Tamandua tetradactyla: one gene and its partner. The protein of the gene in region 1 purifies or fractionates together with the protein of each later gene. This does not show direct contact. Links are inferred from orthologs where the notes say so. Each region holds a gene or a part of one and is shown in the gene's direction. Other genes may lie near its edges.

Region 1 (6,860 bases):
TTTATCATCACAATCGACTTTTTCTTTTTTTGTGAAAAATAACATAAATACAGAAAAGCAATAAATTCGAAAGCACAGCACAACAATTAATTGTAGAACAGATTTCAGAGTTTGGTATGGATTATAATTTCACAATTTTAGGGTTTTACTTCTAGCTGCTCTAAGATTCCAGAGACTAAAAGAAATACCAATTTAATGATTCAGCAATCATATACATTTGTTAAACCCTACCTTCTCTGTATAACTCCACCATCATCTTTGATCTTTCTACACCACTCTTTAAGGATCTTTAGGCTATAGCCATTCTAACTTTTTCATGTTGGAAGGGTCTGTCACTAATATGGGGTAGAGAGATGGAACTATCTGATGTTCGGGAGAGGCTGGGCTAGGTTTCAGAATTTTTCTGGACCAGGGACCCATCTGGAGGTTGTAGGTATCTGGAAAGTTACTCTAGTGCATGGAATCCTTGTAGAATCTTATATATTGCCCTAGGTGTTCTTTAGGATTGGCTGGAATGGTCCTGGTTGGGGTTTCACAGGTTATGATAGGTAGCAAGGTCTAACTGAAGCTCATGTAAGAGCAACTTCGAAAGTAGCCTCTCGACTCTATTTGAACTCTCTCTGCCACTGATAATTTATTAGTTACACTTCTTTTTCCCTCTACTAGTCAGGATGGAATTGTTGATCCCATGGTGCCAGGGCTGGATTCATCTTTGGGAGTCATCTCCCACGCTGCCAGGAGACTCTCACCCTTGGAAGTCGTGTCCCATGTAGAGTGGTGGGCAGTGATTTCACTTGCAGAGTTGGGCTTAGAGAGAGTGAGGCCACATCTAAGCAACAAAAAGGTCCTGCAGAAGTAACTCTTAGGCATACCTATAAGTAGGTTAAGTTTCTCTGCTGCCTACATAAGCTTCACAAGAGTGAGCCTCAAGATCAAGGGCCTGGCCTTTTCATTTGGATGTCCCTAAAATTTGACACAGTATCAGGTGATTCCCTGATGGTAAAGTTTAATAGTTCCTTATTGTTTCTTCCATCCCTCAAGGGACTTTGCCACAACTTTTTAATTATCTGCTTAATATACTGTAGGATGTATCCAGGCATTACATTAAGCTATATAGGATTAAAGGCCCTCATTCTTATTCTATGCTCCCTGTGTTTCAGTTGTTCAAATGAGCTATCCAGACAGGTTGGATTAGATTATGTACTACAGAAAATTTAGGTTCCAGACAAAATAAACCTTTCTTCCTTTGGTCTCAAAGGGTAGGTGTGGTTCTAAAATACGTCTTCCTTACCCCCGTGTTCTGAATTACCTTAATCCGATTTATGTGGCTTCATTCTCATCTCTAAATATCAGGTTATACAAAATAATCTTTTAAAAAAGTTAGTCAGATCTTGTCACTTTTCTGTTCTGAACCCTACAATGGCTCCCCATGTCAGAGTAAAAGCCACCAGACTTAAGTGTCTTATAAGGAACTAGAGGATCTGGCTCCACATTTCCTCTCTGACCTCTTCTATTTATCTTTTCCATCCAAACTGGCCTTTTGCTCTTCCTTCCAAGAACATTAGACTGGTTCATGCCTAGGGGCAGGGGCCTTTGCTGGAGTTGCTCAGATAGGACCATTCTTCTCCCAGGGAGCCACTTAGCCAACTCCTTATGACCTTCAAGTTCAAATCTCACCTTCTCATTTAGACCATCTTATTTATATTGCAACTTCCTCCACTCCACACACCCCTTGTTATACATTTTTCAATAGCACTCTTTGCCTTCTAACAAATTATACAGTTTACCCATTTATTATGCTCATGCTTTGTCATCTGTCCCTATCTTGCTCTACATATAAGCTCCATGATGCAGAGATCTGTCAGTTCTGTTCATATGTTATCACCAAGCACCTAGAAACTGCTAAATACATATTTGTGGAATGGTCAAAAATTGAACACTACTAATTAAAACTGAAATATTTAGCAAGAGACTAATTTTGGAATATTCTTGCATATAATAGATGCTCAATAAGCATTTGATGAATGAAGGAACTATGTACTGGTAATTTGAAAAGGAATCTTGGCCCATATTTCCAGTGTATGCGTTGTGCTATGAGTTGGAGTGTATCTTGAGTTCTGTTTATTCTGTATCCAAAACCCATTTTTGCTTTCATTTTGCCTTTTCCAAAGCCCTGTACACTTTTATTCTGTATAACAGTCAGTTTTGTTCCCTGAATGTTTCCATTAGCTCCATGGCTCAGAGATGGTTAAGGAATTCTACTAAGAGCCACCTTAACATGATGAAGTTGCAGAGAAAGAAAAACAACTAAAACAAAGTAAAAGATGCTTCTGAAAAATAAACCTCTGGCTGAATGGCCAGAGGATTTATCTGGCATGAGGCACTAAAAACTAGGGTTTAAGGTCCTTTTATCTACCTTGTCAACAGACAAATAGAAATATGAAATAAAAATAAATAATAGGGGGAACAAATGTTAAAATAAATTTAGTTTGAAATGCTAGTGATCAGTGAAGGCGAGGGGTAAGGGGTGTGGTATGTATAATCTTTTTTTTTGTTATTTCTGTTTTCGTTTTATTTCTTTTTCTGAATTGATGCAAATGTTCTAAGAAATGATGCATATGCAACTAAGGGATGATATTGTGAATTACTGATTATATATGTAGAATGGAATGATCACATATTAATGATTTAGTTTGTTTAATTTTTTTAATTAATAAATAAAATTTTTTTAAAAAGTAGGGTTTAAGGGTAGTTACACAGACTTGGGTTCTAACTTCAGCCCCCCCCCACACACACACACACAGTCCACTGTGATTTTCAACTAGTTTAACTCTTCTGAGCCCGCATCTGTAAAGTGCGATTAACTAACAGGAGTTGTGTTATAGAGGAAATGTGATGATGTAATATGAGAGCCAAAAGTAGTTAAGTCAGTGCAGAGCAGGCAATCAATAAATGGAAATTATTCTTATAATGAACTTAAAAAACTTGTTTTTGTACCTTCTGTGAACAAGTTGTTACTCCCTCTTTTGTTTCCATCTCATTTAAAGAGGAGATAGAAAAACGAGTAAAGAAAAGTAACCAAAAAGGTAAGTGAGCATAAAGCCCTCTCATGGCTAATTAAGACCCTGCAACGGGGAACAAGGCCTTCTTTTTCAGAGATCCCTCAAGGCGAGGGGGGCCAGCGCCGGCGGCGGCCGGGCAGCACCCAGTCTCACCCGGGAGGATCCAGCAGCCTCGCGGTGAGCGCCGGCGCGCAGCCTGGCCTTATACGGAGTTGTGCGGCGGTGCCTAATTGGGAGCCACGCGGAGCGCCCTCCAAGGGGTCCCGAGCCCGCGGGGGCGTGTGAGGGGTCTCCCCTCCCGGGTCTCCGGCCGCGGCTTCCTTTTTTTTGCCTGTACAAGCACCGGGAATCGAACCCCGGTGTACCGCATGGCAGGCAAGAGCTCCGCCGCTGAGCCACGGTGGCCCGCTCCTCCGCCGCTCTCTTTATCCGACTTTTCACCTCTCCTAGCCTTTGCCTACCTGACGCTTCCCACACCCAGTGAGGACCGTGTAGACGCTTCACCTCCTTTCAGTCACCGTCTCCTGCCCCTTCTCTACCCCACCCAACCCATTCTTTTGCAGGATTTCTCCTCCCCTCCTAGTGCTCCTGGCTCCTTCCGAATATTTGGGTTTGAACTTTTAAACCCACCAATCAGCACCGCGCGCCCCTCCCCTCCCCGCGGGCTGTCGGGGGGCCGACCAGCCCAGGGCCGCGTAGCAGGGAGGCGGGACGGCGGGACGGCGGGACGGCGGGGGCCCGGGGCGGAGTCCAGTGCCCGCCCTCGCGACACGTGGCCCAGGAAGGGCTATAAAAGGCCCCTGCGAGCCGGCCGTCCTCTCACTACTTCTCCCCCGGACTCCTTGGTAGTCTCATAGCGGGAGATTCTTGTCGCCATCCTCCCGCCTCTTCAGCGTCGCTTGGCCCTACAAGTCCCTGTCATGGTGAGTGGGGTCCCGGGGCCTCCCAAAGGTGCGGCAGGAGCCTCGCCTGTGCGGACTCTGGGGGAAGAGTGCGTAGGCGGAAGGAGCTACACGTGGGGCCGCGCCCGGGGAGTCTCCCGGAGACCCCGGGAGTCTGGCTAAGGGAGCCGGGACTGGGAAAGCCGGAAGGGGCGGCCGGGACCCAGCCCTCGGGGGAAGTAGGAAGTCCTCTTGATCCTAGTGAGAGGTAGCCCCACAGGGTCTGTCACCGCCCAAGGAGAGCGAGAGAATCCTCTTGTTGGCCCCCCAAATTAGAGAGAATTTAAAACACCCTTCCCCCAATTTCCCCACATGACCTCACCTACCTTATACGCTGGTCCCTGGAGGGTGAACGGGCTGATGATCGCCAGGCCTTGTGTGCTCCTTCATGGAAGGCTCAGACACTCCCTGGCGCCCCTTTTCCAGCGTCCTGTGACTCGCTGCTGAGTCACCTGTGGCCTGGCCCTGGGCAGAACTTCCAGTTGCAGCATTCCCACCTGAGGGATGGAGGCGGGCCCGTCCTTTGAAGGGAATAATTAACTGTCTTATTGTCTAATCCCCATTTCTAATGCTAACTCCATGGGATATGAGGAACTGAAACTTTCTACTTAAGGGAGATTTTAAAAGTCCACAGGAATGATTTAAAAAAAAAAAAAAACCCAGAGAAAAATCGCTGATGATGTATTCTTATTTCAGTTTTCAGGAAACATAAGATTATATACAATTTGAGAATTTTCCATCTACCTTCCAGAGGTATTGGGACCAGCTATCTTATTCTATTGGAGGCCTAAATAAGAATAAGCCACGTTTTAAACAAGGATTGGTGTATCAGATGTTTAAAAAGTATCTTTAAACGGGGAGTACAGTATCTTTAAAAGTGGGGTGGGGATACAGCAAATAACCTTTTCAGAGACTACCACTGAAGTACTATTAAAAGTATGAATTACTGTAACAACTTGCTTCAGTGCCTTTTATCAAGAGCAAAAACTGGTGAAAGTCTGATTCAAAAAGTAGTGGAATTTGTACTAAAGGTCAGGAGAGCAACAACAACAGATCTTTTTAGGCAACCCTGGCTGAATTAATGGATTTTATGAGACAGTGGTTGCTTATCCAGTTAAAATTACACTAAGTGAATCTGTCACCTGTGTCTCACACCTCCCAAGTGGCCAGGGGACAGTGGAGGGCAAGTAGTGGCCACTAACTTTGCCTGCTACACTTTAAGAAAGGAAAGTTTTTGGACTCAGAAATTTTCAGTAGAAGAACAGCTTCTTTAGAATGAGAAACTCTTGGCCGCTTTTATCTCCTTGGGCCTGGGTACCATCGTGGATGGATCTGTGGTTCTCTCCAGCTTTCAGGGGCTGTGGAATTTCCAAAGTCCAGTTAAAGGTAAACATGATGCAGTGGTAAACAGTCATGGATTCATTAGAACAAACAGCTTTTACTCCCACAGCCCTAGAGCTGGGCAAGTAGACACAGGTAGTTCTGAGCTTGCTGATGTGGTCAGGAGACTGTGATTATTTTATGGGAAGCAGGTGGGAAGGAGACTGTGATTATTTTATGGGAAGCAGATGGGAAGGAGTGATCGTAAGTCAAAGGTTGATGATTCAGGGTTTTATTGCTCAAGTTATGAAATTAGACTCTTTGAGAACTTAACTGATACTTAATTTTCGTTAACTAATTTCCTATTAGCAGTTTTTAAAAACTTGAAACCCTACTACTTAGGGGGAAAAGTAATGAGAGATTTACTGTGTGGGTATTTTGAAAGTTCTCTGCTAATCTCCAGATTAGCTAATCTGATTTATGAGAAAATACAATAAATATCCTTTTTTTTGTTTTTCTGTTAAGTCTGTGAGTACTGATTCTATGTTCATTACCTTATTTTACTAAGCAGAAAAGAGTTTGGTAACTTCTAAATGACCATGTTGAGCAATTAAAGCAAAACAAACATTTCTCCAAAATCTCAAATTCTTTAATCATAGGCTTTTTTTTTAACCATAGTACCAGGGATGTGTACATTTTCCTACGAAACAGTAAATATTTTTAAATAGCAATGAAGTCTTGGCAACACTTCTAGTCTTTATTAACAATGTGCTTTACCCCCTCCATGATTTGTTGATGTGAAGGAAAAATGTTCTTAAAAATTAAATTATTCCACAGGTTTAAAAAACTGCATCTCACCACAGCTTTTAAAATACAGCTAACTGTTGCTTATCTAGCACTTTCTCCGTGAGTCATATGGCTGTAGTTTGCTGGGTTAAACTGATTTTAAAGGGGAGAGAGAAAGAGGTCTTGCCTCTTAAAGAATAGGATTCAAGAAGGACCAGAATGAGCTCAGAAGTTGCACAATCACATAGAGAATGAATCAGACCTGAAAGGGGGAATTTTATTTAAGGAAACAGCAAGCATATTTCCCAAGAGCTACGGGGAATATATTGCTGTGGAGCAGTTTATGTCATTCCAAAATGGTAGAAACCTGACTTTGAATATCTAATGTGACTAGAAAACAAGGGTCTTGCCTTCCCTGGTTCATTAACATAGCTTTGGTTTTCAAAGCGTTTTTTTTTTTTAATTAGATCTTCAACAAAAACTGATGCTTGTAACATAGTCCATGTTCTGGCGTGGCCTCTAGAAAAGTGGCAGTCTGTCCTGAAGGCTAATTAGTCATTTAGGTGACTAATTAGTCATCTGGGTGAATCATTTCCCAGTGTGCCATCTGATGTGCCATATTCTGACATTTTTTTTATCTTCCTTTGCACAGCGTGAGTGCATCTCCATCCATGTCGGCCAGGCTGGTGTCCAGATTGGCAATGCCTGCTGGGAGCTCTACTGCCTGGAACACGGCATCCAGCCCGATGGC
Region 2 (7,254 bases), on another chromosome or scaffold:
TTCCAAAAACTGAGATGTGGCTCAAAGCTTTATCTCTCTCTTGTTTTTTTTCTTTACCTGGGCAGGTACCGGGAATCGAACCCAGGTCCTCTGGCATGGCAGGCAAGCATTCTTGCCTGCTGAGCCACCATGGCCCGCCCTCAATGCTTTATCTTGATAACTAATAAGCAGCCGTTCATTTCACACACAGTTCAACCTGACCAGAAACAGTTGGCATAGGATCACATGAGAGAAGGCAACTAAGAATGACAGTAAAACCTTTAAAGTGAGGATCTTCATGAAAGATAGTAAAACCAGATAGAACATCCCATTTCATGCAAGCAAGATAAATCCTAAAATAGGACTTTCTCCTTCTAAACTTGTTTTCCATGTTGCATTCTTGTTTCTTTTACAAATATCATTTAACTACACGAAGTAAAAGCAAACTGATTTGGAAAACAGTGGAACTTTCTCCCCATCTCCCCAAAATATTTTCCGTAGAGTGCCAAAATAAAAAAGCCAAGCCGTTCTGGTCAAAGGGGCCCCTCTGCAAAATCCTACAATTTCTTAGATACAATTTGAAAGCCACTCAAGCAAAGAATTCTGGAAAGGAAAAGGAAGCAAAGAATTCTGGGAAGGGAAGGGAGGGGAGAAAAATACAATCTTCATATTGGCATATGAAAAAATATGTATGTTTTTCAATTACATTGCCACTACTTTCCCTTCAACATGAGCCAAAAAAATAAAGACTAGAGATTAGCATGTGTGCTGCGGATGAAGGGGGAAGTAGTATTCCTTCTCCACTATCAAATCAACCACTTGATACCGGCTACAGTGCCTGCAATTAAAACTTTACACCATGAAAAAGGTAGAATGGGCATAGCCCAAATATCCCTAAAGAGTGACAAAGATCAAAGGGAATGGTGGAGTTATAAAGAGAAGTAGGGTTTAATAAACGAGCAGACTGCTGAATCATTATATCGGTATTTCTTTAGTCTTCAATATCTTAGAACAGTTAAAAGTAAAAACCTAAAATTGTGGAAAGGCAACCCATACCAAACTGTGAAATGTGTTCTACAACTAATTATTGCTCTGTGCTTTGAAATTTATTGCTATTTTGTATATATGTCATTTTTCACGAACAAGAAAAAAAAAAGCCAATTGTGATGATAAGAAAGTATTTATTCCTTCTAGCCTCCAATGTTCTGGAGCAGCTAGAAGCAAAAATCCGAGATGAAGGTATGGTAGCACGTGACAAACTCTGTGATCTGTCCTGTAACTACTTGTTGAAGAGTACTTTGAAAACTACTGCTTTTTCTTTCTTTACTTTGTATATATGTTAATACAAAAAAAAAGTTAAAAAAAGATTTACACCACCTATGAAAACCAACGAATCATTAAGAAACACTACCTTTTCTCTAAAAATATACAAACAAGAATAACATCTTTTTTCCACTATGAAAAGGCATAATAAATAAAAAAATTCTGGAAAGTAGAATAACATATATGCACTTTTTATGCCACTAACTTCTGTAATCCTGATCCAAACCAATTAAAATACATACACACACAGAGTTCTCACCTGCCACACCAGAGACCCAGGTTCAATTCCCAGTGCCTGCCCATGCAAAAATAATAATAATATATATATATATTTATACACACACACATACACACACAAAATTGTGGGAAATTATTGAATAAATATTTGACGATATTTAAGAAATCATGTTTGTAATCCTAAGGCTTGATGAGACTGACTTTGTTTCATGTTTTTTTTAACTTTACTTTATCTTTCAGATACACCTGAAAAATCTACAGATGAAAAGATACTGAGAACTGCAAAATACCCAGCAGGTATATGAAACAAGGTTGGTTATGTACTAACAATGCTTGAAGTTGGGTAATATGTACATTTTTGTGTGTTTATTTGAAAATATCTCTCAGTAAGGGAAAAACAATCTTATGCGTCAAAAAAAAACCGCATCAAAACTACAGAAACTGTGTTTCTGGCTACTGTTTCTTATTCATCAGGTTTGATTATCAATAAGTCTATTCTCCAAACCAAATTAATTTTCTCCAATAAATCTATAACTGAGTTACAAAATTCACTTTAGTGTCTTTAATTCCACTCATTAGCTAGATGAGTGCCAAGTGAAGAAACAATCTAGAACTCCAACTTATAATTAGTACTTATCTGAGCTTCATGCCACATATCTATTTTGAGTCAGAATGATCAACTATTGGGATTATTTTCTTTTACCTTCTCTCCCTCTTGTATCTGAACTGTTTGATAGATAGGGTACAAAGGGGAAAAGTACCAGATGTTGTTCATTCCCACGAAGTAAACTCTTTCAAAGAAAAGGGTTCAAGGACTCAGTCGAATGTGACATAGATGTTTTAAGATTCTCCTGGTTAAGTAATTCTACGTACTCCCCTTACACTCCCTCCTCCAAAAAAGCCTTCATGTGGTTAGAAAGGAACGACCCTGGTTGGTCTAGTTCATCTACTCCTCCTCTCTTAGGGGAGGTGCTAGAGAGCAAAGAAACGACCAAAAGACAGGCCGGAAGAAGGAAAGCGAAAAGCACGGAGTTTGGACAATCAGCCCTGAGATAATTGATAACTATACCCAAATTAGATGAAGTTAAGAAAGAGTAGGCTGATAAACGCCTCTCTAACGCCGACATTCTTGACAACTCACAGTGCCGAAAAACTCGGAGGCACATATAACAGCTTGGGAGTCCCTTCCCATCCAAGTATTCACAGGTACAAAGGCTTAACCAGAATTCTTCCCGGCCCGCGCTGTGGAGAAGGAAGGAGCTCACATCCTTTCCAGAAGCAGCTCCGCAAAAGTAACTCCCGCCCGCCCGAGCCAGGTTGGCCCGGTCGCCCGAGACCCTCCCCGCGCGGCTGGGAACCCCCAAACGACTGCCCCTTTCCGAAGGCCAAGCGGCGCCTGCTGGGGACCCCTCTCCCCAGGCCGGGCGAGGGCAGGTGGGGCAGAGACCGGGCGGGGAAGACCAGCCCGCCGTCGAGGCCCTCCGCGCCCGTCCGGGACCCGCGCCGCCCACGCTGGGCCCAGGCCCGACGCCCCACGAGAGTCTCGCCGCGAGTCCCACGCCCGCACCCAGCCCCCACCCCCACCTCCGGCGGGACTCGCGAGTCCCAGTCAGCCGCGGGGGCCGCCGCCGTACCGACCCAGACAGTGGCTACCTGTCTTCACTCTTGTTTTTCTGCTTCTTCCCCATCGCGTGTCAGCGACGCTCGTGGCCTTGCCCCCTTTATCCGGTTTCTCGCGGACCCACTGCGCCCCGGCCGACTCTGGTGTCCACTCAGCTTCGTCCCCGCGAAGCTGCCGCCCCTCGCACCCGGCTCTCCACAGACCCGCGCACTGGGACAGGGCACATATGGTGTGAGTGCCCAATGCGCATGCGCGTCGCCCCGCCGCTTCGGCGTGGGGACGCAGCGCGCGGCTCATCGAGAGTGGCGCTCGGGGTAGAGCGTCTCCAGTTGGCCGCCGGACCGCCGGGAGTCCGCGCGCCCCCTGCCCGTCGATGCCTCGGGTTCTAGAACCGCGGGCCGGATAATGAGGCTGTCAGTCCCGCGTCAGCCCTCGCTCCTCGGGAAAAGCCACCGGGATTTAGCACTCGGTTCAGAGGAGGACTTCGGGCTTCTCTTCCACCTTTCACCCTCCTCGAAGGAGCCGAGAATGGGCTCTGGATGTTCCCGAGGGATACGAAATTCCAGCCCAAAATCGGGGCCGCTTCCAATGCCCATTGGTTAGGAAATACGCAGTCACTAAAGAAATCATGAGGCGAGGACGTGCCCACCAATTTACCCCGAGAAAGGTTTCGATCTTTATATGCAAAGCAAGTTCTCGTGGTAGGGAAGTCACGAAGGAACGTTCCGTGACCCGATCTGGGCTGCTGTACCACAGGGTTATGTAGGTGCAAGTCATATTGCGCCACCTAAGTGATGCCTCCACTGTTCAATAAACTGAATGGAAACGAACTTTGAGGCTCACTCTTGAGCAAGATCGAGACTACCTCATTTCTGACGTAGTGCTATAATGAGTACTTGGGCAGGGCGTGAGGTCGGACACTCAGGGTTGGGGACCCGGCGGCTACGGGGCGCACAGCAGACAGCCTCGTCAGCACGCCTTTCCTTGGACCCAGGCGAAAAGCAGCAAACAGGCTGGGAAGGGCGCGCATGCGCAAAGGCGCTCTCCGCCCGCTCTGCCGCCTCGGGCGTTTCAGGATGTATCGCGAGAGGGCTACAGCCAATGAGGAGGAGGGGGCGCCGGCCGGCTTGCAGCCACCCCCTCGGTGTGCGAGGGTGAATCCCGGCAGGGACCCTTTTCCGAAGCGGCTGCTCCGTCCCGCCTCAGGTATTACCGAGAGCTCAGGTGAGGCGGGGAGTGGCGTGGGAAACCCGCCACCGCGTCCCGACGCTGACGGACGCATCACCGTCCAACATCCGGCCGGCGCGGGGGAGGGGCGCGGCCGGACGCGGGGATCGGGGCGGCCGCGGAGGTTTTGGCGCGTGCGCCGGGGCACAGTTGAAGTGCTGAGGGCTGTGCCTGGGTCCGGCCCGTGGGGCCTGGCGTGCATTTGTGAGTGAGGCCCCTTTGTTGTTTTGGAGGTACCCACGGGAGTCAAGGAAATGGTTAGGTCATTGGAAGACTCGCGGTGTTGCTTCCCACCCTCCTCCTTTTGAGCGTAAAAAAGGGAAGAAGCGGAGGTTGGTGAAGAATGAAGTTAACGCGACCGCTACGCCGTCTCCTTTGACCTCCTCTTTCTGAGTGCGGCGACCACCGCCACCTGCCTCCAGAACAGCTCTTGTTAATCGTCTCTGTTCCTAGTTATCCCAGAATTAAATTCTGGGCTCATCCTGTGAAACTCCAGGGATGAGTGTGCGCCATGCCCCGAGTAAGAACAGGTTCTGATGTGCAAATCAGCGCCTTCATACAATCTTCTGGCTCATCTAGATCAGCTCCAGCGTTGCAGTGTGACTGACGGTTTTCTTCGGAAGTGTGTGTGTGTGTGTGTGTGTGTGTGTGTGTGTGTGTGTGTGTGAGTGGAATTCTTTTCTTGTATTTGAAACAGCTCCTTTTCAATTTTATAGCATTTATGGGACGCTTTCAAATTGGTTTTCTAACTTGATATTTGTGACAGTTTGAGCAGAAGCTAGGCACTTGTCCATTCAACATTAAATAGTTATTGAGCATCTACTATGTTCCAGGCCCTGTACAAGTAGCTCTGGGGATACAGAGATGAATTCAAGTGTATTTTTCATCTGCTTTTCCTGTAAGGAAAAAGAAAATTACAAGTAAAGTTTGCAAGGACAGTATTTCTCTTCAGTTTAACAAAATTTAAGGCGTCTCTGTAGGCCAGGCTCTCTGTCAGAGGTTGAGTGAGTTCGGTTTATTCACATTTTTTATGGTGCTTCAATCAAGTTTACAAATGTATCAGTTTGCACGAACTCCTGCTTTGATAGGCAAATTGTAAAACCTATCTTCATGGCAGTTAGCCCAGGAATTCAACTAAATAACATTGTTACTGGTAGAAAATAACATTTCTCTTAAAATATTTGAGATCTTCCTTTCTAATCTGAATTAATTGTTGGAAGCAGACAAATTTTTTTACTATTTTACCCAGAGGACTAACAATGGAAAATCAGTTTTTTTTAATATCTGTAGTGCTGTATTGTTTTACATCAAAGTTAAGAACACTGAGTGTCAGTAAATCAATACCTCTATCAGTTTTTGCGGCCTCATAGATTGTGTTAGGTAAGGGGAAAATAGAAATGGAAATAACACGCATTGTAATGAGATCTTCTAGGAGGTAAAGAAACTAAATTCGTTTGGGTAGAGACCATAAAAAACTCTCCATTTTGCTCGACTCTGTGCTGTGTTGAATCAAATTGGTATGCCTGGGAATGTGTAAACCTCAGTACAAATATGTTATTTCACAGTGATTTCTGCTTTACTTTCCTTTTCCTTTGGTAAGGAAAACTGATTGTCAGTAAATACCACTAGCTATAATTCCAGCTATTAATTTCTCTCTGGTCTGGTGATTGTCTTGAATACTAGCATTTGCCTTTTTTTTTGCCATGGGTAGGCACCAGGAACGAGAACTCTGCCACTGACCTGCCATGGCCCACCCTTGTATTTGCTTTAGTATAGCAAAACACAAATTAAGTCAGAAGATCCTAAATTTTGCTATAAGTAGTTTTTTGATTATATGACTGTAACGTATTAAAAATTTTAATTTAAAATTCTTAAGTTTAACCTGATGTGTATGGGTGTCAGCAGAATACTCTGCAGTACAAGTATATATATGCTTGCTAGAATTTTTGAGAATGGGAGAGAAGACTTTGTGTATTTATATTATTTTTTTCTAATTTTGTAAATCTTCCCAGCCCCAGGGCTGAATTGTACCATTTAGAAGAAGAATGGAAGGCGATGCATCTGTTGGCATGCTTTCAAAAGTCCTGGAGAATCAGTTGCTTCAGACTACCAAACTAGTGGAAGAACATCTGGATTCTGAAATTCAGAAACTGGATCAGATGGATGAGGATGAATTGGAACGCCTCAAAGAAAAGAGACTTGAAGCACTAAGGAAAGCTCAACAGCAAAAACAAGTAACCTCTCTGCCCTGCTTTCTGAAATTGCTATAACAGTATGCTCCTAAAAATTATATATACATGTGCTGCAGCAGTTAAATTCGGTCCTCTTTTTTAGGGTCTTTGAATTGAAAGTACCTACTGCTATTAAAAATTTGCTAAAAAAAAGAAAAAAGTTCTAAAGACACATTCAAAAATTAATCTAGTCAATTTATTAAACCACAGTTGAGTGAAAGAGAAGTTTCCTACCCAAGATCATTTTCTGAGCTCAGATTTGTTTGGTTGAGGAGAGAGTAAATCAGGAAGAGCACTGAGAACACTAGGAGTCGGCAGTTTCCATTTCAGGTAGAACTAATGTCTGTCATAATTTAGCTAGCTTCAGTGTAGGAATGGTGCATGAGATAAGAGCTATGGGGCAATTCATGTTGAAGAAATTATTTCAAACATTTCCAGTGTAACATTTATATGTGATCTCTTTATTCAAGGGAATGCATGCTGGGCACCAAGAAAAATAGCCACAGCTCTATCCCTGTTGTTCTCCTAGAGTGTATAGAACAGACTCATAGTTGTATGCTTACAGAAAAAATATGCACAAAATACGGGGTTCCCATATACTACCCTATTATTAAAAGAAATACTTTTTTTTAAAAA

The links.
Region 2: the proteins of tubulin alpha-1C chain (region 1) and TXNDC9 purify together in Homo sapiens (co-immunoprecipitation; 3 studies listed by BioGRID and IntAct, counting the BioPlex papers as one, with this or other methods). This does not show direct contact. The link is inferred for Tamandua tetradactyla from reciprocal best matches to the Homo sapiens genes TUBA1C and TXNDC9.

What each region holds. Positions count from the first base shown.
Region 1 is NC_135333.1:110,188,810-110,195,669, forward strand, and holds the start of tubulin alpha-1C chain, read left to right. Parts: upstream 1-3,850; 5' UTR 3,851-3,982; coding exon 3,983-3,985; intron 3,986-6,761; coding exon 6,762-6,860. UniProt on the Homo sapiens protein: Tubulin is the major constituent of microtubules, a cylinder consisting of laterally associated linear protofilaments composed of alpha- and beta-tubulin heterodimers.
Region 2 is NC_135343.1:4,925,725-4,932,978, reverse strand, and holds the start of TXNDC9 (thioredoxin domain-containing protein 9), read left to right. Parts: upstream 1-4,235; 5' UTR 4,236-4,366; exon of another isoform or gene 4,367-4,384; intron 4,385-4,479; exon of another isoform or gene 4,480-4,591; intron 4,592-4,600; exon of another isoform or gene 4,601-4,907; intron 4,908-6,399; 5' UTR 6,400-6,432; coding exon 6,433-6,621; intron 6,622-7,254. Other genes in the region: EIF5B (eukaryotic translation initiation factor 5B), read right to left, coding at 3,193-3,227. UniProt on the Homo sapiens protein: Significantly diminishes the chaperonin TCP1 complex ATPase activity, thus negatively impacts protein folding, including that of actin or tubulin.